Diceros bicornis minor: one gene and its partners. The protein of the gene in region 1 interacts with the protein of each later gene in a biochemical or structural test. Links are inferred from orthologs where the notes say so. Each region holds a gene or a part of one and is shown in the gene's direction. Other genes may lie near its edges.

Evidence for each region.
Region 2: the proteins of UBE3A (region 1) and ubiquitin-conjugating enzyme E2 E1 form a complex in vitro, tested with the Homo sapiens proteins (2 studies listed by BioGRID). The link is inferred for Diceros bicornis minor from reciprocal best matches to the Homo sapiens genes UBE3A and UBE2E1.
Region 3: of the proteins of UBE3A (region 1) and RAD23A, one has a biochemical effect on the other in vitro, tested with the Homo sapiens proteins (9 studies listed by BioGRID, with this or other methods). The link is inferred for Diceros bicornis minor from reciprocal best matches to the Homo sapiens genes UBE3A and RAD23A.

What each region holds. Positions count from the first base shown.
Region 1 is NC_080744.1:75,727,857-75,735,609, forward strand, and holds the start of UBE3A (ubiquitin-protein ligase E3A), read left to right. Parts: upstream 1-4,699; 5' UTR 4,700-4,800; coding exon 4,801-4,820; intron 4,821-6,347; exon of another isoform or gene 6,348-6,543; intron 6,544-7,753. UniProt on the Homo sapiens protein: E3 ubiquitin-protein ligase which accepts ubiquitin from an E2 ubiquitin-conjugating enzyme in the form of a thioester and transfers it to its substrates.
Region 2 is NC_080741.1:28,971,469-28,979,127, forward strand, and holds the start of ubiquitin-conjugating enzyme E2 E1, read left to right. Parts: upstream 1-4,567; 5' UTR 4,568-4,718; intron 4,719-5,817; 5' UTR 5,818-5,850; coding exon 5,851-6,002; intron 6,003-7,659. UniProt on the Homo sapiens protein: Accepts ubiquitin from the E1 complex and catalyzes its covalent attachment to other proteins. Catalyzes the covalent attachment of ISG15 to other proteins. Mediates the selective degradation of short-lived and abnormal proteins.
Region 3 is NC_080769.1:4,461,311-4,468,602, reverse strand, and holds the start of RAD23A (UV excision repair protein RAD23 homolog A), read left to right. Parts: upstream 1-4,200; 5' UTR 4,201-4,289; coding exon 4,290-4,361; intron 4,362-5,750; coding exon 5,751-5,912; intron 5,913-6,080; coding exon 6,081-6,262; intron 6,263-6,401; coding exon 6,402-6,457; intron 6,458-6,586; coding exon 6,587-6,714; intron 6,715-6,992; coding exon 6,993-7,071; intron 7,072-7,198; coding exon 7,199-7,292. Other genes in the region: CALR (calreticulin), read left to right, coding at 102-196, 287-496, 578-691, 778-921, 1,536-1,628, 1,713-1,913. UniProt on the Homo sapiens protein: Multiubiquitin chain receptor involved in modulation of proteasomal degradation. Binds to 'Lys-48'-linked polyubiquitin chains in a length-dependent manner and with a lower affinity to 'Lys-63'-linked polyubiquitin chains.

The sequences.
Region 1 (7,753 bases):
AATCATTGAGTTTGATTTTAGGTGCTGAGATATCCAAGTGTATGTGTATCATTGGTAATTGAGAGTAGCAGGCTTATAACTCAAGAGATAAACTCTTAAAGATGTAGAGTTAGGGATTCTAAGTATAAAGTTGCTATGGGAATGAATGACAATGCACAGAGAGTTAATTTAGGTTAAGAAAAGGGGCTAGTGATAGAAACTTGGAGAGTGGTCATGAATGAGGCATAGGAAGGTGAGCTAGCCGAAAACCTAGTTGCTGTCAGAGGTAGAAGAACCTCTGACAGGTGGGTACAGCATTATGGAAGCCAGGGGAGGTGAGAGATGGTTAGCAGTGTGAAATGCTACAGAAATAAGGTAGGAGTAAGGGGCCACAGGATTTAGAATGTACAGGAATGATGATGACTTTTATAAGAAACATTTCAGTAGGTGGAAGGTTTTGTGTATTAGCAGCTGAGCTAATAGTTTTCAGGTCTTTCTGGCAGTTAAAGGAAGGAGAATAAGGAAATGATACTTTAAGGGGTTAATGGAGTTGAGGGAATTATGTTGAGAGTTTGAGAGTGTTATATGAAAGCAGTACTTAAAAATTTTAGTCTGTAGAATAAACTAGAATGAGTAGAGCCTAAAGGCAGGAAGACTTAAGTTAAGCAAGGAAGTTATTAAAACAGTCTGGTCATTAGTGAAATTTATAAATATACAAAACTTAAAGAGTTTCAACAAACAGCTTTACCCATAAATGTAAGACACCATAAACATGGTGCAGAGGAGAACAGAAGTGCTGAGTGGACACAATAAAAAAGGGATAGAAAAAGTAGTCTGTGAAATTGTTTGACCTAGGTTTAGAAGGAGGTGAAGGAAATAGGCTATTGGAGAGGAGATGAAGGACATACTAGATGTAATAATAATAAAAATATATATGTATGTGTGTATAAATATTTATACAGAGAGGGAGGGAGTGTTGGCAGATGGACTATTTTAAAAATAAATGAAAATGTTAGCAGGGCAGGTGAATGTAGATTGATATAGGCATTTCTTATTATTGGGTTACATTTCTTTTTCTTTTTTTTTTTTTTTGTGGGGCGATCAGCCCTGTGCTAACATCTGCCAATCCTCCTCTTTTTTTGCTGAGGAATACTGGCCCTGGGCTAACATCCGTGCCCATCTTCCTCCACTTTATATGGGACGCCGCCACAGCATGGCTTGCCAAGCGGTGCGTTGGTGCACGCCCGGGATCCGAACCAGCGAACCCCAGGCCACCGCAGCGGAGTGCGCGCACTTCACCACTTGCGCCACCGGGCCCGCCCCTTGGGTTACATTGCTTATTCTTAGATTATTAGATTGAGCCCTCTGTTGGAGAGGGACACAGATATAAATAAAATGAAGGCATTAGGTCTGGTATTAGAGTGCTAATGGTTAAATTTGTAAAGAGTATACCTAACATTTCTGGTGCTTACAGTATCTGTTACTTATACTGTATCCTCTATGATTATGTGTTCCTAATCTAAGGAAAAGTTTCTCAAATTGGAGTCTGCACATCACCTGAAATGTACGTTAAAAATACAGATTCATGCACTGCAACTTTATTCACTGAATCACCGTCTCCAGAGGTAGAGATCGAGTATCTGCATTTTTTACAGATTCCCCAGGTGATTTTGTTATAGAATAGAGTGTGAGACTCAGTCCTCTAGGCTTAAAACTTGGTTAATTTTTAAAAAAATATTTATATGCAGTGTATTCATTTTCTACCCCTGTAGAACACTGAGTGGGCTTCTTAATCTTTGGGACATGATTTCTTCATATATAATAAAAGGAAATGGATTAAAAGACTTCAGTTTCTGTTCCACTGAGAAATGCTCTGATTGAATACAAATGAGTTAAGAATTTACAGTGATTATTTTAGTGCATGCTTTAAGCTTCAGAATTTGGATTTTTGTGAGTTAACTTTTGATATATTAAATGTTTGATTTAAGAAATAATAGTTGCTCCCATGTATTGTGGCCCTATTAGTGCCAGGCAGCACTGTCCTACATACTGTTAAAACATTTTCTCTAATACTGTCAGCAACATGTCTGAGACTCGGGCCAAAGGACCTGCCCAAGGCTGCTCCTCCAGGAGGTCATGAACAAATGCCCATATATGTACCTAACATAGCAGGTGCTCAGCGTATAGGATTTAATTAAAAGCTAAATTCCTATAGGTATCTGAAGGAATTTGAGGAATGTAGTCAAACAGGTTTCATGTATTTTCAGCCCTTATGGAGGGAGACAAGAGTAAAGAAATGGCAAGCACTAAGCTCTGTGGATGAAAATGGGAAACATGGCTCTACCAGCTAAAAGTACTCAGGCCACAGGGTCTGCCTAACGACCTTCCATGCATCCTGGCAACAGCAGTAGGGGCATTTGTCTCTTGATATGTTTTTGGATATTCATGAATATTATAAAGAAATAAATTTCCTTTTATAATAAATGTTAGGAAAAAGTTTTCCCTTTGAAAGTTTATCCAGTTGTCTATGTAAAAAGAATTGAGTGAGGTGTTTTATATTTTAGGTTAAAAATCTGTAAGAGCCTGATTTTAGAATTCACCAGCTCCTCAGAAGTTTGGCGAAATATGGTATGTTTCTGTTTTATTTTTTGGAATTCAAAATTGCATGTGTATCTTAATGTCATGGTTAGAGTAATGAAAAATGTATTCAGCAAATTTGGGTGCCTGCCATTTTTAAAGCCTTGCGCTAGGTGCTGAATCACTATGCTACCAGGTAGACTGTATGAGGGACCCAAGTGGGATTCTGAAAGAATTTAGAAGAGGTTAGTGTGCTGTGAGAAGTAAAATAATATGCATAAGAAGATTGAGGAGCAGTGTGGCTGTGAGGCTCTGAGGTAATAATAGATTCCATTTGTTGAGCTCCTACTACGTGCCAGGCACTGTTCTGAGCAATTTGTACGTTAGTCTGTTCATCCTTGTGACAGCCCTCTGAAAGAGATACTACTATCATTTTAGTTCTACCTATGCAGAATCTGAGGCTCAGAGAGGTTAAGTAACTTGCCCAAGATTTCCCATCTAGTAAGTGACCAAACAGGGACTTGAATCCACACTGGCTGTGGAGCCTGTTTGTGCAGTGTTGGGCACTGGAACTCATGAAAAAGGGGGACTAGAAGAGAGAACTTGACTGAGTAGATTTCATAATACATGTAACTCTTTAATGAATTAATTTACCTCAGTTAATTAGTCAATTAAAAGGTATTATAACTTTTTCATTTTTATGTTTACAGGTTTGGATTAGTCTTATGAGAACCCAAGAGGGAGCAGTGTTCATTTCAGGGGTGCCATTCCTTTTCTTCATACGACCTCAGGAATGTTCTGGGTTCATATTAGGAGACATGTAGCTATGATAGGAAAATCTGAGAAATTGAATTATGCCTTCCAGGGATTATAAGTTCCATTTATTGGAGTCCCCTAAAATTTCTTATGTATATGTAGGCCAACTCTCACCCTTATATGAATTAGAATCCCAAGTTCATAGGCGGCGGAGGTGTGGGCTCAGGCATTGATGTTTCAGCCCTTCTCTTGGGGTTCTCAGATACCTTGCTGTTCTATATTGGGTTCTGACCCATGCTGGTAACCATCTTCTGTGGTTGTCTGTTGTCACTTTGAAGGTGTTAACTATCAAGGGTCTTTTTTTTATCTTTCCTTAGTTTGCTTTTTAGAATTGACCTGGATACACAGTTTGGTAGGGAAATCATCAGGGGAGAAACTAGTTGCATGGATTGAGCTTTTGGTACTGGGATATTTCAGATGTATATCTTTGCCAGAACTACAATATGATTAGAATACATGATAAATTTGAACCGTGACAATCAGGAAAGTTCAGCTAAGGCCAAATAAGGGGATCAAAAGATATTAGGTTGAGGGAGGAGGAAGTGTTTTCATATTTTGCCATTCTCTCTCATGAAATTGAATATGAATGGATTTATGGCTGAGAAAGAGTGGAACATGTTTTCATGAAGTACCCAAGGGGTTTTGGCTAGTGTTAGATCACCCTACTTAAATGTAGAATAAGTAGGACTAGACTTTGGTGTATATATGTGTGTGTGTGTATATATATGTATATAACTATTCCATTAAGCATTTGGCTACCTGGAACCTATGACTGTTAGTCTCATTTAAACTATTGTGGGGTCTCAATCCATATTCTAAGTTTTTGCTCCCTTATGTATGTTTAAATCATAGAACTCTGTATAGCAAAATTTAAACCAAATCAAAAAATGCTAACCCTGGATAGGAAGTCAGTAGATCTGGGTTTTAGTTCTAGCTTCAACACTAATTCTAAAATCTTGGGCAAGTCAGTTAATCACTCTAAGGGTGCTTAATTTTTTTTTTTTTAATTCTTAGTATAGTATCTACCCTGATTAGGTAGAGCCAAAGTTGTCATGGGAGTCAAACAAGATAGTGTTGACTAAAGTGCTCCATAAACTGTAATGCTCCATAAAAGTACAAAAAATTATTGCCACATTTTCTCAAGTGAAGAGATAATTTAAGGGAAAAAAATGCTGGAAAATAGTCCTTAAACACGTTTCTGTATTAATTACTCTTCTGACGAACATTGCGTTGATACCTAATTCAAAGCTTTGAAGATTATTTTTTGAACAATGAATTGGATTTATATATTAAAGTGTTCTAACCAAAGATTTGTTTAATTTATTAGAGTTATTAAACCTACGCTCAGATCAAGTTAGCAGCTAGACTGGTGTGACAACCTGTTTTTAATCAGTGACTCAAAGCTGTGATCCACCCTGATGTCACCGAATGGCCACAGCTTGTAAAAGGTAATTTTGAATGTTATTTTACAGCCTTTAAAAGGCTGTCATTGTAAAGTAAAATATGTGCTGTATAAAATGAAGAAAATGTATAGTTGGCAGGAATACTGCTAAGAATAGTGGACCTAAGAGTTGACATGCTTATCCATGTAATCTCCTGTCTAAAATATTTCGTGCTTTTGTCCCCCAGACCTATCTGTATGAACAACAGGAAAGCATTTCTCAAAAATTTCAAGTTTTTAAATAAACATTTTATTATGAACCTTATAAAACCTATGAAAAACTTAATATGCATTTTAAAGTGTACCTTTAATGTGGTGAGAGTTTTAACTAAACACTTCTCTAGAAGTTTTTACAATTTTAATAAAACTAGTATACTTTTCTGTCCTAGAGAGTTACAGTGGAGGTCAAAGGAGTGGTTTGCAGGCTGGAGAACCTACACTCACTATTATTGGAAGTGAGCCTCCATTTGAGTTTTCTAGCTCATGCTGCAGAATTCAGATTAGTGGGCATTTGTGATCACGTTTTCTGTGATCCAAATCAAGACCTAAAATTGAGACTCTTCCAAGATTTATTTTTTATTTTCTAATGTTACTTGCTTATTGTTTCAGTTTTAAAATTTCTGACTTGTTATTCTGACAAACTTTAGGTTAACCTAAGTCAATGGTTCTTGTTTTTTCCCCCTTTGATCACATGTCCTGAATTTGGTAAAATTACTAGTGTGTACTGGATCCTTACTTCCAACATCTTGACAGTAAAGAATAAAGAGACTCTTTAGGGGCCAAAGTAAAGCTTGGAAACTATGTTAGATATTAGATATTTCATTGTTTTGAGAATTTGAATCCTAACTTCAGGATATTTTTTTGTAAATTATTTAGAATATTGTAGAAATATACTCTAAGCAGAATGACTAGAAATTTATTCCAACGTGTACTCTTACTACTCACTGCAAGAAAATATTTCTACTAGTTCTATGTATATTCACTTTTCTCTTGATTAAAAAACAATTCCCATTTTGAGTAGAAAACAACTTGTGCTAACCATGTTTAAGACACCCAGGATAGATCTGTTTTAGGATAATAATCTTTCAGTCTTCTCTTATTCTTTTGTCCTTTTAGACTGAATTGGTTTAAAGTACTTGGTTTGACTAATGGCTTTTAGTAGCTCACTGTAATATATGTTAATATTAAATGATAATCTAGTATGTTTACAATAATTTGATGACATTTTGATGCTAATGTTTACGTATTCTCTTATTTGGGGAAAGACATTGGAAAATAGAATGTAGTTACTATTTGTTGATGTATTTAACCTCTATCCCATTTCAGAATCTCAAAACTTTGCAGCAGTTATAAGTTGTGCTTCTAAGACTCAGATTTGTTTTTCTTCTTGCTTGTGTCTTACCTTTTTGCAGCAGTATTTTAATTTTCCTGTCATTGTGTCATCATTTTTTTCCCTCTCTCTCTTTCCCTGTTAATTTTGAAAGTTTTGCTGCCTACATGTTTGAAAGCTTCTAATCTGCCTCTCTTCCCTTAGTGCCAGCAGATTTATTTTTTGTTTTGCAAGCCTGCTCTGCCTCCTTACAGTATGACATCTGATGCTGGAGGGTCGCACTTTCAAAAATGAGTCAGCTGGTACATGGGGTTATCATCAGTTTTTAGCTCTTCTGTCTGAGAGATACAAGTTTGGAAGCAATCTTGGGGTACTTACCCACAAGGCTGGTGGAGACCAGGTGTGTCACAAAGGTGATTTGCTTGCTCCCTGGGGGAGAGGGTGGAGTGAAATTTTTGCATTTGTGTCACTGCCAAGTCACTGCCACCTCCAGCATGCCTCAATTTTTAGTTGCAATGTAATTTTGTACAAAACTGAAAATATAAATACACAGCAAAGAAGATCTAAAAATTAATATTTGAGCTGCTGGAGTCTTTTTTTTTTTTTTTTTTTCCTTGCATTCTTGTCCTTGGACTCTGAACGCACTGCAGTGAGGGGTAATTTTGAAAGTCTGATAAAGAAGTGAGTTTTTTAAGAGCTAAGAAATGTGGAAACAGATTTTTTTTTTTTTTTCCTTGCTGGTGAATCTGATTTTAAGATTCTTTTGTTAAAGTTGTTCAGAATTTGAAGTCTCAAGTCAGTGATAAATTCACAAATCAAGTCCTTGGAATGTCATTTTGAAAATTTATCTTTTGACCTCTAAAAAGTATTTTACCTATTTTGAGAATTTGAAAGTATTAGAAATCAGTATTATGTTGATTCACTTTAATATACATTGACTGATGCTGTTTATAAAAGTAAATAGGGTAACAGGGATTTATTTTTTTAACAGTGTGGTAGGGGTAGGCAAAATTGGTTCATACCCCAAAATGAAATTAAAAGGCTTCTTTTGTGTCTTTGAATTTTGAATATTTCTACATAAGGTAGCAGTAGATTAAAAAAGTAATAGAAAGTAACTAGCAACTATTTATAATTGAAGTCAGTTCACAATTACCCACAGCAAAATTTTAATACCTCAGGATGGTACACTTTTGATAGGTAGTACATCCTATCCTGCCACTGTTTTTTCAGGGAAAGCTAATTTCATTGTTGAACCAAGATAATCATGATCAGAATGATAAATTTGACTTAAGTGTCTTAAAATTCAGGAAGGCTGTTAGATTTACATGTAAATTATCTAGAGCAGAGGTTAGCAAACTTTTTCTTAAAGGGCCAGATAATAAATATTTTAGGCTTCGCGGGCCATGTGTTTCTGTCAGTTTCTCAGCTCTGCTCGTGTAGTACGAAAGCAGCCATTGACAATATGTAAATGAACGAGTATGGCTGTGTTCCAGTAAAACTTTACAGAGATAGGTGGCTGACCCAGACCTTAGTTTGCTGACCCCTCATCCAAAGTTTGGGACTATAAATACCAGTGAATATCCTTTATATTGTGGATAAGCAATACTTGG
Region 2 (7,659 bases), on another chromosome or scaffold:
AGTAATTTTTCCCTACTATTTCATTCCTCCAAATTTTAGTAAACAGAAAAAGTGTTAAGTTCAAGAAAAGGTTTCAGAGACTAACCAAACTGCTCAAACTGCAATCCAGTAGATTCCAATACAGTCTGTCCTTATGTTATCAATGTATAGGAGGCTGAAGAAGGCTGGTTTGTTTAGAGAATAGGCCCTACAGAGCAGATGCTAAATTATAAGGTGAGAAGAATGCTTTCATACTAAGCATTATCCGTTTGTCAACATCAAACAAACCTTTTTGCCCTTGCCTGAGAAAGCATTAGACTCTTATCAAGTCTTGGTAAATTTTGAAAATCACATGGTTGTTCAATGCCTCCATGTGGTAGAAAAAATAATTTAGCTCTGTCCTAGCTTCCTGTGATAGCAACTTTCAGGACAAATAAAGTCTGACAACGCTTAGGGTCCTTCAAAGAGATCAGTGTGTTAAAAAAAGGCCTATGGAATAATGACCCGAATTGAAGATAAAAGCCCCAGATCCCATTAGGCTTCATGGAATTGACCCTTCTTTGCGAACCTTCCTTATCCTTCCGTATAAGGAATGAATTTTTCAGGCAAAGGAGCATCAGAAAATAAAACAAGGGCCGGCCCCGTGGCTTAGCGGTTAAGTGCGAGCACTCCGCTGCTGGCGGCCCGGGTTCGGATCCCAGGCGCGCACCGACGCACCGCTTCTCTGGCCATGCTGAGGCCGCGTCCCACATACAGCAACTAGAAGGATGTGCAACTATGACATATAACTATCTACTGGGGCTTTGGGGAGAAAAAGGAGGAAGATTGGCAATAGATGTTAGCTCAGAGCCGGTCTTCCTCAGCAAAAAGAGGAGGATTGGCATGGATGTTAGCTCAGGGCTGATCTTCCTCACAAAAAAAAAAAAAGAAAATAAAACAAGTAGATTGAAATCCACAGTGAGTCCATCTTTTCAGAAAACCTTTACAGAAATTCTTCCTAAATTCCAAACATAAGATTTTTTTTCTTTTGACAGAAAAAGGAAATCCTTTCTATCCAGTCATAAGGTAAGTTTAAAAACCCATATTAACAAATGTTAATTTGCTTGACAATTCTTTGGATGTGAAATTGGCCCCAAAGAGGATTGTTGCTTTTATGAAATATTTAAGTTCAGTGTAAGCAAGTAGCCAAAAATAGGAGTGCTCAAAAGTTAGATGGGGTCTCTTTCTTCTGAATCAACTGTATCACTTCACCTAGGGATCAGTCAGCACCTTGATCTTCAAGTGCTCCTACTTAAATGCACTTGATACTCTCAAGATGGCTTGAAGAAGAGAGTTGGATCATTTTGAGATCAGGAATAGGTATTAGTAAAAACTGAAGCCCATTTTCTTAAAGCCCACAGATATCACAGTGTTGCACCACTTGGGCTTCTGTGACTGAATGCATCTTTTAAATGTAAATTGAGCATTTCTATCAAAGCATCCAGTGTATACGTATGCATTTGCTTTTGCAAGCATAGACTACCACAGAGTTGGGGGGAGGGGCAGAGGCAGATTTTCGTGGCTTACCCTTTGGTTTCTTTAGGATAATATAGCATGAGAATGTATTACCTACTTGAAATATATCCATAAATATGAAATAATGATTATTATTCTCAGAATGAGGTGTAAGGAACATCAATATTGTTCATTAATTGGTTCAAGTAAATGTTATAAAATCAGTGATTCCTTTAACTTGGTTCCATTTGTCCACTTTCCCAACTGTCTTGATTGTTAATATGTTCTTGAAAATATTACTGGAGTTCTTTTATATTTAATATATTTTTCTTTAATGTAATTGAGGCTCTTCCCCACCCCCTAAATATTGCCAGAACTGACAAAATCATCTGTGGGCAGCATGGGCCATAGCCACAATTTTGCCACCGACTTACTGCATGACCTTGGATGAGACGTACTGGCTTTCTTTGCCTTAATTTCTTCATCTGGAACATAAGGAGTTTGAACTCCAAGATATCTTAGGCCCCTTTGAGTAAATAAAATCCTGTGATTCCTTGACTTTATCTTTCTCCTAGGAGGTTTCTTACACTTGTCATCAATTCTAAGTCATAAAGACCCTGTGTCCTGACAAAATTCCTGAGCAGTAGGATCAGGGTGGGATTATTAATAATTTACTTTGCATAACAGTTAATTAATCATTTTACTATAGATACACATTTGATCCTTCTAACAACTCTGCCAGTCAGTACGGTGCAGGTATTTTTGCCCCTTATAGATGAGGAGACTGAGGGTCAGAGAGGTCACTTTAGGTCCTTAGGCCTTGTAGTTAATAAGTAAGAAGACCTGGAAGGCTGCAAATGAATTTTGATTTTTTTGTGACTGAGACAACTGTATATTTAAAGTAATCTGACATAAAGATTAGTCTTTTGAGAGCAATGGATTCTTTTCTAAACATTTTGAGGTTTTTATTCCCCCTCAGTAGGTCATTCCTAAACCATAAAGCACTAACCAGGGTTAGAGATAAGGACTAGCACACAAGAGGGCCAGTAGCCTTCCAGACTGGTGGCTGGGAAAGCAGTTCCCTATAGAAGAGGACTCCTTCGGTTATACGATTTATTTCCCCAGGGACCAGTCCAACCCAAGCATCAACAATGAAACACAAAATAACCATGTTCAGTTTTTAAAAAAAATATTATTAGAGTTAGTATCCAAGTATACAATTTATGCAAACCAAAATTAGTGAAAAATTCACCCACTGTCCTGGTCACAACAGCAAGTCAACTCTTTTGTTTTCCTGTATTCTCTGCCAGCTCTCATCTTTATACATATATGATTTTTTACTGGTTGTACTCATAGTGTTGACGTGTATTTTAAAGTATCAGAAACCCAAATATTCATAAGAGGAAGTTTCCATTTTAATAACTGTCTTTATTTTATTCATCTCAACTGAGTTTATTTCATGTTTGTTCATTGCTTTCTCTTGAATTTGTATCTTTTTCATCCGAAGTACAAAGAGTATACAACCTGGTTTTAAGGAGATTTTTGTTGTTGTTTTCAAATAACACACATCAGGGAGTGTCATTATTTATATATGCTCTACCAGGATCCCCGAAACCAAACACTTATGTCTGGGGATCTTTTCACAATTTCTGTGCATTTGAGTGACTGAGTGATAGCTCTGACTGGAGGTAAGAGGCAGGAGGCTGAAATGATGATCTATAAGGTTTTTTTCCAGCTTTGGACTCCTTGATTCTATGACAATTCCTGGTAGATACAGGTTTCCCAGTAAGAACTGAGCAGGAATTGTGCACAATTACTTTATGAATCTTGATACAGTTGGAGTTTCATGTTGAAGGCTAGAAGGGTTTAGGTGGGTGGTAAGAATGTTTGTTTTCCTGGTTAGTGGATATGCCATGGGCTTTATATCTTGTGTCCTCCTGTGGTAACTGAAGCCACTGTTTCCATGGAAAAGGATGGCAATTTGAGATAATTTAGAGTGGCCCATGGAAATCTGACTGGGCGGTCTCCTTAATGTACCAGACCTTGTATGTGTGGCATTACACACACCTCTTTAGTTTCCTTCAACCGAAATACAAATAAGTGAGAAGCTAAGTCATAATTTCATGGGTTAATCTTAAAAAAATTAATCTTGGTAAAAATGCTCAATAAGGAACAATTCAGAGGAATTACTGAGTGATTAACCTAAAAATATTGATTATTTGAATAGCATTGATATTGTAGTTGAGGAAGGTACAGAAGTCCCCAAAACTTTTAATCTAATTTCCAAAAACCAAACTTTCTAAAGTAAGCTGACACCAAAAATTCTAAATCATAATTCAGTAGTATAAGGTTTATTCCCAGTGATTTCTCACATTTGTAAGCCTGTTACACGTTGGTTTTACCTGTCACGAAATCTTTTGTATCCCTTTTATAAAATACCACCACTTTCTATAAAAAGTGACTGGAAGAATCTAAAATTGTAAAATTGCACGTGCCTGAGCAGAAAAGTCCTAGTTTGGGATTTTCTAACAGGCGTGCCTAAACCGACCTCTGCTCCTAGCAGGTAAATCGCCAGAGGGAGAAGCCAGTGTCAACCCAAAGGAAAATCCTGTTGTGGGATTTTTTTCCCCTTAAACTGATCACTTATTAGGAGGAGGTCCCGCCGCATTCTCTAGTCCAAAGTCCTTGCCACCAGATTACCATCTTTTCCCCCAATTTACCAATCCCCCCCCCGTTTCCAAAAGCCCTTATTGGAAAGAACTTCCTCTCGTGACCCCCCTATTCCATACAGTTCCAATCTCTCCCAGCGCCCCCCATCTTGGAACGGCTTCCCCTCTCCAGCCCAGGATCCAGGTCCCCGAACCACTTGAGAGGAAATTCACACCCCTCGCCCCCTTCCCTGGCGTCCCGAGGAGGCGCTGGGGTGGGGGTGTGGGTGGGGAGGGGGCAGGGTTTCCCGGGGTCCCCTGTGCCCTCCTCGCGTCCCCCCGGAGGTGTGTAGGGGGAGGGGAGCGCGGGTGGGTGGGACCGGGCGGGTGGGGGAGGGGTGAGGGCGAGGAGGAGGAGGAGGAGGAGTGGTGTGTGTGAGAGCGTGTGTGGCTGGGGGAAGCCATTGCCTGTTTAATAGTTGCTGTTGCTGCACTTCCGCTTCTCTCCCAGCGAGAGAGAGACACGAGTGGCCAGGCCCAGCCGCAGCCGCAGCAGCAGCCGCCGCGGCGGCACGGAGGAGCCAGACACAAAGAGAGGTACGGGGATCCCCCCCGCCGCCCGCCGCCCCCCGGCCGCGTCGCCGGGCCTCGGGGACACCCTTCGCCGCCTCCCCCGACCCGCGCCACCCGGGCCGCCGGGCACGGGGCTGGGGGGGGCGGAGAGGGGCCGGGGAGCCCCAGGGGTCCGGGGCCCGCCCGCGGGGGATGGGCAGGGACCCCGGGCCGCGTGGGGTGCGGGGGCCGCCCGTGTCGGGAGCGGGGGGGGCACTGTACCTCGAACTGTCAGCGCTGCCCCGGGAGCCCCTCACTGGCCGCCCAGGGGGCCGGGAGCGGGGGAGGGGGAGTCGGGGGAGCCCCGTTTCCCCTGGGGCGGGGGCCCGCGGGGATTAACTCCTCCGGGGCGGGCGGGCTCATTGTTATTCGTTCGCGCAGGAGGCCGAGGCCCCCCTCGCACCCCCCCACCAGGGTGGCAGTCGGGCGTGTGCCCGGGACCCCCGCCCCGGCCGCGCAGCCCCAGCCGGGTCGCCGAGGGGCAGGCCGGCGGGGAGGGGCGTCGGGGCGCGGCGCGGGGGGCCCTCGGCCTTGTCGCCCCTGCCCCCCCGCCGGCCTCTCCCTTCCCCCACCCGGGCACCCGCTCCTCGCCTCCGTCCCCCCGTTTCGGCTTCCTCTCTTACTCCTCTCTGCCCTCCTCGCTTCCCGACCTCGCCAAACTCCGCTCCTGGCCGCGGCCCCCGCGACCCCCGGAAAGCCGACAGAAACGGCCCCGAGGCCGGCCGCTGGCCGGGACCTTCCCTCCCTGCCCCGCCGAGGTGCCCGCGCCCCCGCCCTGCCCTCCTCCCCCGCCCGCTCGGCTTGTCCCCTCCCTGCCCCGAGGGGAGCCCCGGGGGGCGAGGGAGGGGCCGCTCGCTGTGCTCCTGACCGTTTTCCCACCGCGTCCCCCACTTGGGGCCAAAAATAAACAAGCCGCGTCCGACTTGCAAAAGCCTTAATGGGCCTGAAGACTTTGAAAAGCTAGTGGAGGGCGGTGGGCGGCCGGGTGCACCCCTGGTCAGAGCCCTCCTGACAGCGCCCGAGTTCCGTATTTACACTGGCTGCATGGTTGATGTGTTTCTGTTTTGTTTCTCTCCCCCTGCAGGGGCTGTTTGCGGGGTGGGGTGGGGGGTTCGCTATGTCGGATGACGATTCGAGGGCCAGCACCAGCTCCTCCTCATCTTCGTCCTCCAACCAGCAAACCGAGAAAGAAACAAACACCCCCAAGAAGAAGGAGAGTAAAGTCAGCATGAGCAAAAACTCCAAACTCCTCTCCACCAGCGCCAAGAGGTACCGTACTCTCTCTCCCTTTTTTTTTTTTTATTTTTTCCCCCCACAGGCTTCCTATTTTCCGAACTGCTTCTTGGTGCATTTGGTCGGCCTCCCAATGAGGGTAGCTTAAGTGCTCCTCAAGGTTTATGTGTTCTTAAAAATGAAAAAAGGGGCTTGGAAGCCCTAACTGTTTTTCTCTATTGCTTTTTCTGTTTTTTTCTTTTAATCATTGCCCACATGCTGTCGTTGTGGCTTGCCTCTTCCCATTTCTTGCTGAAGTTTGTAAAAATCCTCATTACTTTTATCAGTGACCCCCAAATCTGATTTCAAATTACTTGTCCTATTAATCACTAATCTGTGACCCTCCCCAAGGCTGTCATCCCACTTAATTACTAATGCCTGCCCAGACAACTCGATCAAAATGAATTCTGTTACCATCTGACTTCCTCCTCACCTGTTGCACATACATCTTTTTTGAACAGAGCTTTCTCCACAAATTGCATAAGGAATAACTCATACTAGGGAGGTAAAAAATTTAATAGGTGGAGACAGATGTTTTTGGATGGCCTTTAAAGAGATTTTTCTGATTTGGAGAGTTGAGGCAAATGAATCAATAAATGATGTAAAATGGTTAATCTAGGTTGTTTTGGAGATTCTTTTTTGTTTTCTTCAAGAACTTCAATTTACCAAATTTCAGGGACACTCACTTTTTCATGCTATTTCCTCTTCTCTTATGCTATACTAGTGTTATTTTTTTCAAGTTGAATTTAAGCAGTGGCTCTTTTTCTTTATTCTTCTCCTCATATGTCTCTGGAAGAAGCTACTTTTTATCTCCATCATCCTTCAGTAATATCCTCTGATCCCCATGACCCTTAAAATAATCTATAGCAGATTCCTGGGTCGTCCCCCCCCCCCATACCCTTTCATAAATCCTCCTGCTCTAAGGTGGACAGTCATTAAACTTTGAAGTGGCAAACCAGAAAAACAGTAAGGAATCCAAATGGTGGGTTAGAGAGGCATATCTTTCTTAAAAAAGTGTAAAATAAAATGGAATATGAGGATTTAGAGCTCTTCCACTGAGTAGTGAGCCTGGAATTAGGAGTTTGAAAGTTTTTTCTGTCATTCTTGCTGACTTGAAATTTGAAAAGTTGGTAAAGTGCTTTGGTGACCTAACTGTGGGCGGATGAAGGAGTGACTTTAGCTTATTTTAAATAGTGTAGAGGTCTAGAGTTAAGTGGCAAGATGCCTGTACAAGATTGTTCTCATTTTCAGAGGGTTGGTTTGATTGCATCTCAGCTTCCCAGGAGTCCTAACGGCCCTCACTGGTTATCCCTGTGCTGGTTCTCCCAGAATCTGGCATCTCTCTGCCCACTTTGGATGGAGCCTCCCTTAATCTGTCTCGTCTGGGCTCCCTCATCCATGCTGGGTCAGCTTTTGGCCCTACCTGACTAAGGCAGGATTTTGCTTTGGGTCATTTGTATTTTTATATTTTGCTGGAGATCCCTGGTGTACGTAAATATATTTAGGGGTGAAGACACAGGCGTCAAATATAAAATAGTCTGCTTTATGTCAGCAAATTACAGAGGGGGACTTTTCATCAGACACAATTTGTCCATTTACGCTAAGGAAGTTAAAAACTTCTTTGGAAACGCCTGGGAAAGAGATGATAGGTGTA
Region 3 (7,292 bases), on another chromosome or scaffold:
AGAGTCAGAGTCTGAATCTTGTCTTCTTTTTGTAAAGAGGGGTGGAGGGGCTCACAATGGTGGGCAGCCTCTAGCTTGAACTGAACCTGCTTGTCACCTAGGCCCGGACATCTGTGGCCCTGGCACTAAGAAGGTTCATGTCATCTTCAACTACAAGGGCAAGAACGTGCTCATCAACAAGGACATCCGTTGCAAGGTGTGCCTGGGGGTGGTGACAGAGGGCTGCCAGGGGGAGGCTCAGAGGCCAGCCTGGTGGGCGGGGCCACTCACCTCCCGCCCTCTCCAGGACGATGAATTCACACACCTGTACACACTGATCGTGCGGCCAGATAACACCTATGAGGTGAAGATTGACAACAGCCAGGTGGAGTCGGGCTCCTTGGAGGACGATTGGGACTTCCTGCCCCCCAAGAAAATAAAGGATCCCAATGCTGCGAAGCCCGAAGACTGGGACGAACGGGCTAAGATTGATGACCCCACAGATTCCAAGCCTGAGGTTGGTGCTTGGGCAGGGCCCCCCACCGTGGAGGGTGTGGAGGAGAGTGGGGCCAACTCTGACCTCCTCGTGTGCCCTCAGGACTGGGACAAGCCTGAGCACATTCCTGATCCCGATGCTAAGAAGCCAGAGGACTGGGACGAAGAGATGGACGGAGAATGGGAACCACCAGTGATCCAGAACCCAGAGTACAAGGTGAGTCTGGGGCTCGGAGCAGCCGGGAGCACACAGTGAGGAGTGCACTGTCCCGCTCACCGTCCGGTTCCCTTCTCCCTCTGCAGGGCGAGTGGAAGCCCCGGCAGATCGACAACCCAGATTACAAGGGCACGTGGATCCACCCAGAGATCGACAACCCCGAATACTCTCCAGATAGCAACATCTACGCCTATGAAAACTTTGCTGTACTGGGCCTGGATCTCTGGCAGGTGAGACATAGAGGGAAGAGGAGGACTCCTAGGGGACTTCAGGTGCTCCGAGTCACGCAGGAGAAAAGGGACAGGGGTAGCATTGAACCCTAGGCAAGTCTGACCCCAAGGTGGTGCTCTTTCTGAAGAATTTCTTGCTCTGTCTCTATGGAGTTGTCACAGCAGCCACTTACAGGTTCTGTTTACGTGCCAGGTACTTCTCCTAGTACCTTTATGCAGATCAACCCTGTTAACTGGTGCCAACAACCTAGAAGGTGATTAGATAACTCCATTAGAAAATTAGCTTCATGGGACTAAACTTTTGTTTCTTTTTTACTGATACACCTTTTGTGCCTAGAATGGCACATAGTAGGAACTGGAACAATGCTTGAACAAGGAGTGAGACCCCATCTTACAGAGGAAGAAACTGAGGTGCAAGGAAGTGACCAGCCCGAGGTCATACAGGCAGGAAATGGAGGAGCTGGGGTTCGAACCCAGGTTATGTGTGTTTTAACCGCACTTAGACTGCAGCGTTGTGTAGTGGTTATGGGGACGCGGGTAGGAGCCCTGTCCAAGGCCAGGACCATGGGGTGCCCCCTCTGACCACCCCTCCCTCTCTCCCCCTGTCCCCCCAGGTCAAGTCTGGCACCATCTTTGACAACTTTCTCATCACCAACGACGAGGCGTATGCAGAGGAGTTTGGCAACGAGACGTGGGGCGTCACGAAGGTGGGCCCAGGGTCCGGTCCTGGGCTGGGGGTGGGCAGGGCTGGCACGCGGGGGCCAGGCCCTGAGCGTGTGGTCTGCACGCAGGCGGCGGAAAAGCAGATGAAGGACAAGCAGGACGAGGAGCAGAGGCTAAAGGAGGAGGAGGAAGACAAGAAGCGTAAGGAGGAGGAGGAGGCGGACAAGGAAGATGAGGACGACAAGGAGGAGGACGAGGACGATGAGGACGACAAGGAGGAGGATGAGGAGGAAGACGCTGCCGCTGGCCAGGCCAAGGATGAGCTGTAGGGGCCGTGCCACCGCCTCCGGGGCTGGACTGAGGCCTGAGCGCTCCTGCCGCAGAGCCGGCCACGCCAAATAATGTCTCTATGAGACTGGAGAACTTTCATTTTTTTCCAGGCGGGTTCCAATTTGGGGTGGATTTTAGTTTTGTTGTTCCCGCTTTTTTTTTTTTTTTTTTTTTTTTTAACCTGGTGTTTTGTCTCGTGCTCCTTTATCTTCACCCCAGGGTTCTCATCTTTCTTGATTGACATCTTTGCCGCCTTCTGGTCCCTTCTTTCCCCAGATCCCTTAGTTCCTTTCCAATCTGGGGGCATGAGGGGTGTGGAGGAGAAGCCCCAGGCCCGAGATTCCATCTGCTCTCGGTCCTGGCTCCCAGAGCAGGGCAGGAGAAGAGGGTGGCGTCCCCAGTCGCCCAGCACTGAGCAAGAATGGGGCTCCTAGGCCCTGAGCTCTAGGGCGTGAGCTCTGACCTCCCCACCCCCTCCCTTTCTCCCCTGCTCCCAGGACTGGGCCACTTCTGGGTGGGGCAGCAGGTTCCAGCTCGGTTCACACTGAGAATGTAAGAACTACAAACAGAATTTCTATTAAATTAAGTTTTGTGTCTTCCTCCTGTGTCTCCTTCTGGGGGAGGTGACTCTTGAGTAAGACTCATTTTTCAGCCACTAAAGTTGGCTGAGTGTCCCATAAGGTTAGAGGGGCCCTTGTTTACCCCCACAACCCCAGACTAGTGGGAGAAGAGTAACTTTTAAATGCCATTACAGATATTCCACGTATTAACTCAGAGTCCTTGCACCAAAGTGATGAGTTTCGGTTCTAGTACCAATTCAGTTTGAGGAGACTGAGGTCCACAGTCTGGTAAGAGGTGGGGCACGGGTATGAACCCACACCTGAGCCACCATCTCATCCTGTCCCTGTTACTGAACCATACATATTTCTTACCTATCAAGGTAAGGCAAGACTGGGTAGAGCAATTGGACAATTTTAAAGATTTTCTTAATACCAGCCAGTGGTAAAAGCTATTAATTCCTTTATAATCAAGGAGGTCGGCTCAGAGACAGTATATAGCTTGTCCGTGGTCTTCAGTGGTGAAGTTTGGATTTGAACCTCTTGAAGGGAAAGGTGGCCCTGAGGGGGGGTGCAGAGATAGCAGAGTGGTGTCTGGGCCCCTGAGGCTGGCCTAAGGTCCACAAGGCTGCCACTGAAGGCCTGTGAGTGGTTGGAAGCTGATGTCCCTTGTTGCAGGAGAGAGGTAAGAAGCCGTCAGCTGAGCCTGGCCTATTCTGGTAGAAGCTTCTGTGCCAGGGCATGCAGTGAAGGGAGAGGCAGCAGGACCTGGTTACAGTGGGGCAGTGGGTGAGGTATCACGTGACTGCCTGGTGCCCAGCTTGAATGGAAACTCTGAGAAGAAGTTTGGAGGCAGGCAAGGGTCAGAGCAGGATAGGGCCCCTCCCCCCCAACCAGCTGTGAGATAAGCCCACTCTCACCTCCATCCAGTCCCCCAAGCCCCGTCTTCACCTTTGGCCAGCCAACACTTTAATTCCTTGTTCCTTGGATGGGCCTCCTTCAAGTTTCTGTCCTGTGGCCCAGCCCCAGCCCTCTGGGAAGCCTGCAGAGTTGTGCATCCAGGGCAAGTTGAGGGAATTCTGTATTCAATGTAGGGAGACCTTGAAAGTTAACATCTTTCTTAAATACTTTGGGGATCAGACTGGAGATAGTGGGGTGGGACAGCAGAGAACTGGGAGACCCAGGAACTAGAACTGCAGGTTCCTTCCCCAAATCCAGCTGTCCCTCAGGAATGAACGACGCCACCAAATGGCCCGATGTCCTTGCTTCCACGGCCAGACTTGTTCCTTAGAATTTCCACTTTTCAGTGCTTGACAGGGTTCCTGTCAGGGTGGCCAGACCAGAATAAAACTCATTTGGGAGCAGCAAAAAAACACGAACAAGGATTTTATGGAAGAAATACAAATATCTAGAGCAAGTACATGAAAAATTTTGTTCAACGTTATCCACAAATAACAAGCTAATAAGGGCGTGAAAGTGGGGACCCCGGAGCCATTTTGTGGCCGCATGACGTCACCGCTAACGGGCATGGCGTCACTCGCAAGAAGCCACCTGATGGGTGTGCGCGCTGAGCGAGAAGCCCCCTCCCCTCCCGCGGAGCGGTCTCTAATCTGCGCATGCCTGGCCCGAGGGCGCTCTCGTGCGCATGCCTAAGGAGGCCAAGGGGGCGCGCGCAGGTCACGTGCTCTGGTGGTCGGCGCGCGCACCGCTTGCCCCGGAAGCGGTAGGCGTGCGGCGCGGCTGGGCGCTAAGATGGCGGCGGCGTGAGTTGCATGTTGTGTGAGGATCCCGGGGCTGCCGCGTCGCTCGGGCCCCGCCATGGCCGTCACCATCACGCTCAAAACGCTGCAGCAGCAGACCTTCAAGATCCGCATGGAGCCTGACGAGACGGTGCGAGCCGGGCCGGAGCCTGGGGGGGGGAGCGACGGGTGCTGGGCGTGGGGTGGGGGCGGGGAGGCCGGGATCCCGACGGGAGGGGCGGGGAGGTCGGCGCGGGCCGGACCCTGCCCACCCTGCCTGACTTTCCGGGACCCCCCGATGGTGCCCAGCCTAGCCCAACCCCTGGCGACTCCACTTGGGCGGTGCTCAGGGGCTGGGCTCCGGGCGAGGCCCCACCCCCGGGCGCCCGCCAGGCTCCGGCTCCAGTGTCAGCGCCCTCACGGGGCGCGGGAGCCGCAGGCTCAGATTCCCGGCCCCGCCGCGCTCTCCAGGACCGGGTCTCCGAGCTCCCAGCTTTGCAGGCGTCTCCTCGGGACGCTGGTGGCCGAACCTGGGAGTAGTGACCAGGAGATGCCGAGTGGTGACGGCAACGACGACGATAATGACAATAAATCGTGTGCGTTTCAGTGGTCTGTGTTTGCTGGCCGTTTATTCTTTTCCAGTCGCAGAGTGCTGTAGTGTTATTATCTTACTAAATGTGCAAAACAGGCTTGTCATTTGGGCCTCTGACTCGCCCTAATTTGCAGATGCGGAAATCTAGGGGTTGAGGCACTGTGCCATAGTCGCGGACAGCAAGTTATGGCAGAGCTGGGATGCAAATTCGCTCCTGCTCGTGTGAGAGCCCCTGGTCTGAACGTTATGTTGCCTTTTTAGCTGGAAGAGACTTAGGACGTCACAAGTATGTCAAGTGTCTGACTATGTCCCTGGTGCTTTTTGCACAACTACGTCATGAGGGAGACGTTGAAGTCCGCTTTTGGTGGGAGAGGAAACACTCTTTTTTTTTTTTGTCCCGACCAACTGTTTGACTTGCAGCAAGTTACTTAACCTCTCTGTGCCTTGTTTTCTCAAATACTGTAAAATGAGGCTAATGATGTCCATGTCATACAGTTATTATGAGGCTCTAAAAGCGTGATGTGTATACGTTTATGAAAGCGCTATCACCTTACGATGCATTCAGTAAAAACACCGTTGTCAGTAGTGTGGAATGAGGAACCCTTCCATCTGCCCCTGTATTTTGATAGACTTTTCATCATACTTTTCGCCATCTGAGATATATATTTGTTTTTTTCATCTCCCCACATTAGTGTCACCTCCATGAGCGCAGGGACTTGCGTGAAGTTCTGTTCCCTGCTGTGCTTCTCAGTGCCTGAAACAGCCCCTGATCCATAACGAGTGCTCAGTAAATACCCTGCTGAGTGGTGAGATGAAGGAACAAACTCAAATCCAGCGTGCTTGACTACGAAGTGTAGCCTCTGCCGTCAGGGCCTGCAGCCTCTCCCCCCCAAGCTAGGAAGGGAGAGAGACTCTTGGGGTTTGCAATGACTGTCCCCGTCCCTGCAGGTGAAAGTGCTAAAGGAAAAGATAGAAGCTGAGAAGGGTCGTGATGCCTTCCCTGTGGCCGGACAGAAACTCATCTATGCTGGCAAGATCTTGAGCGATGATGTCCCCATTAGGGACTATCGCATCGATGAGAAGAATTTTGTGGTCGTCATGGTGACCAAGGTGGGTGCAGTGTGCTCGTTGGAAGGGTGGGTGGATTAGCTGGGGAGCTGGCAGAGAGCTGTGTGTGCCCAGGAGAGATTAGCCGTGAACAGGCGGGGCTGAGACGGGGCGGGGTGTGGGCGCTAGATAGGGATACTGATGTCTGCTCTCTTTTTCTGGGTGTCACAGGCCAAAACTAGCCCAAGCACTTCAGTACCCCCAGAGGCCTCACCCACTGCTGCCCCAGAGTCCTCCACAACCTTCCCTCCGGCCCCTGCCTCAGGCATGTCCCAACCCCCACCCACCGACAGAGAGGACAAGAGCCCATCGGAGGAATCAGTCCCCACGACGTCCCCGGAGTCCGTGTCAGGGTAAGGCAAGGAGCGGCAGTCCCAGCTTGGGCCCTGTTCTCCCAGCATGTTCCAGCGCCCACTTACGTGATCCCACACACCTGGGGGGAGGGCAAGCAGCCAGAAGCCAGGGTCCGATTTCTCTTTCTTGAATTTGCAGCTCTGTTCCCTCTTCAGGTAGCAGCGGGCGAGAGGAAGACGCGGCCTCCACGCTAGGTGGGTGGGTGGTCCCCAGGGCAGAGTGACTGGGCGCCCGAGCCATCAGCTGGGCCCTGTATGGGTGTGGGAGGGCCTGGGAGCTGTCCTCTCTCCTTGGTGACCCAGGCCTCGCCGCTCCCTCCACAGTGACGGGCTCAGAGTATGAGACGATGCTGACGGAGATCATGTCCATGGGCTATGAGCGGGAGCGTGTCGTGGCCGCCCTGAGAGCCAGCTACAACAACCCCCACCGGGCCGTGGAGTATCTGCTCACGGTGAGGGGGGCTGCTGCTTCCTGGGGAGGCCTCGAGGGAGGACGTGGGCTTCAATGCTCTGGGGGGTGGTCAGGGAGGCAAAACCTGCCCCCAAAAGTATTTGGGTCGTGGTTCCAGCCAGGAAGGCTTCCTGCGGGAGGCTGCACATGAGCAGCGGGTGGGGGAGGGAGGGAAGTGGAGGGAGGGCCCAGGCCTCACCTGTCTCCTGCCAGGGCTGAGCACGCAGGAGGGAGATGGTGGGCGGTCTGTGTGTTGGAACTAAACGGGACCCCTGACAGGGAATTCCTGGGAGCCCTGAGCCAGAACCCGGTTCTGTCCAGGAGAGCCAGGTGTCTGAGCCGCCGACCACAGAAACAGGTGAGTGGACTGGGAGCCGTTCGTGGGGGGCTGTCTGCTGTCGAGACATCTGATTCCCCCCCACCCCCCACCCCCGTGCTTCTGGGAGTCCAGTGTGGTATCTGACCACACACCTTGTTCCTGCCAGCGGGAGAGAACCCCCTGGAGTTCCTGCGAGACCAGCCGCAATTCCAGAACATGCGGCAGGTGATTCAGCAGAACCCGGCACTGCTGCCGGCCCT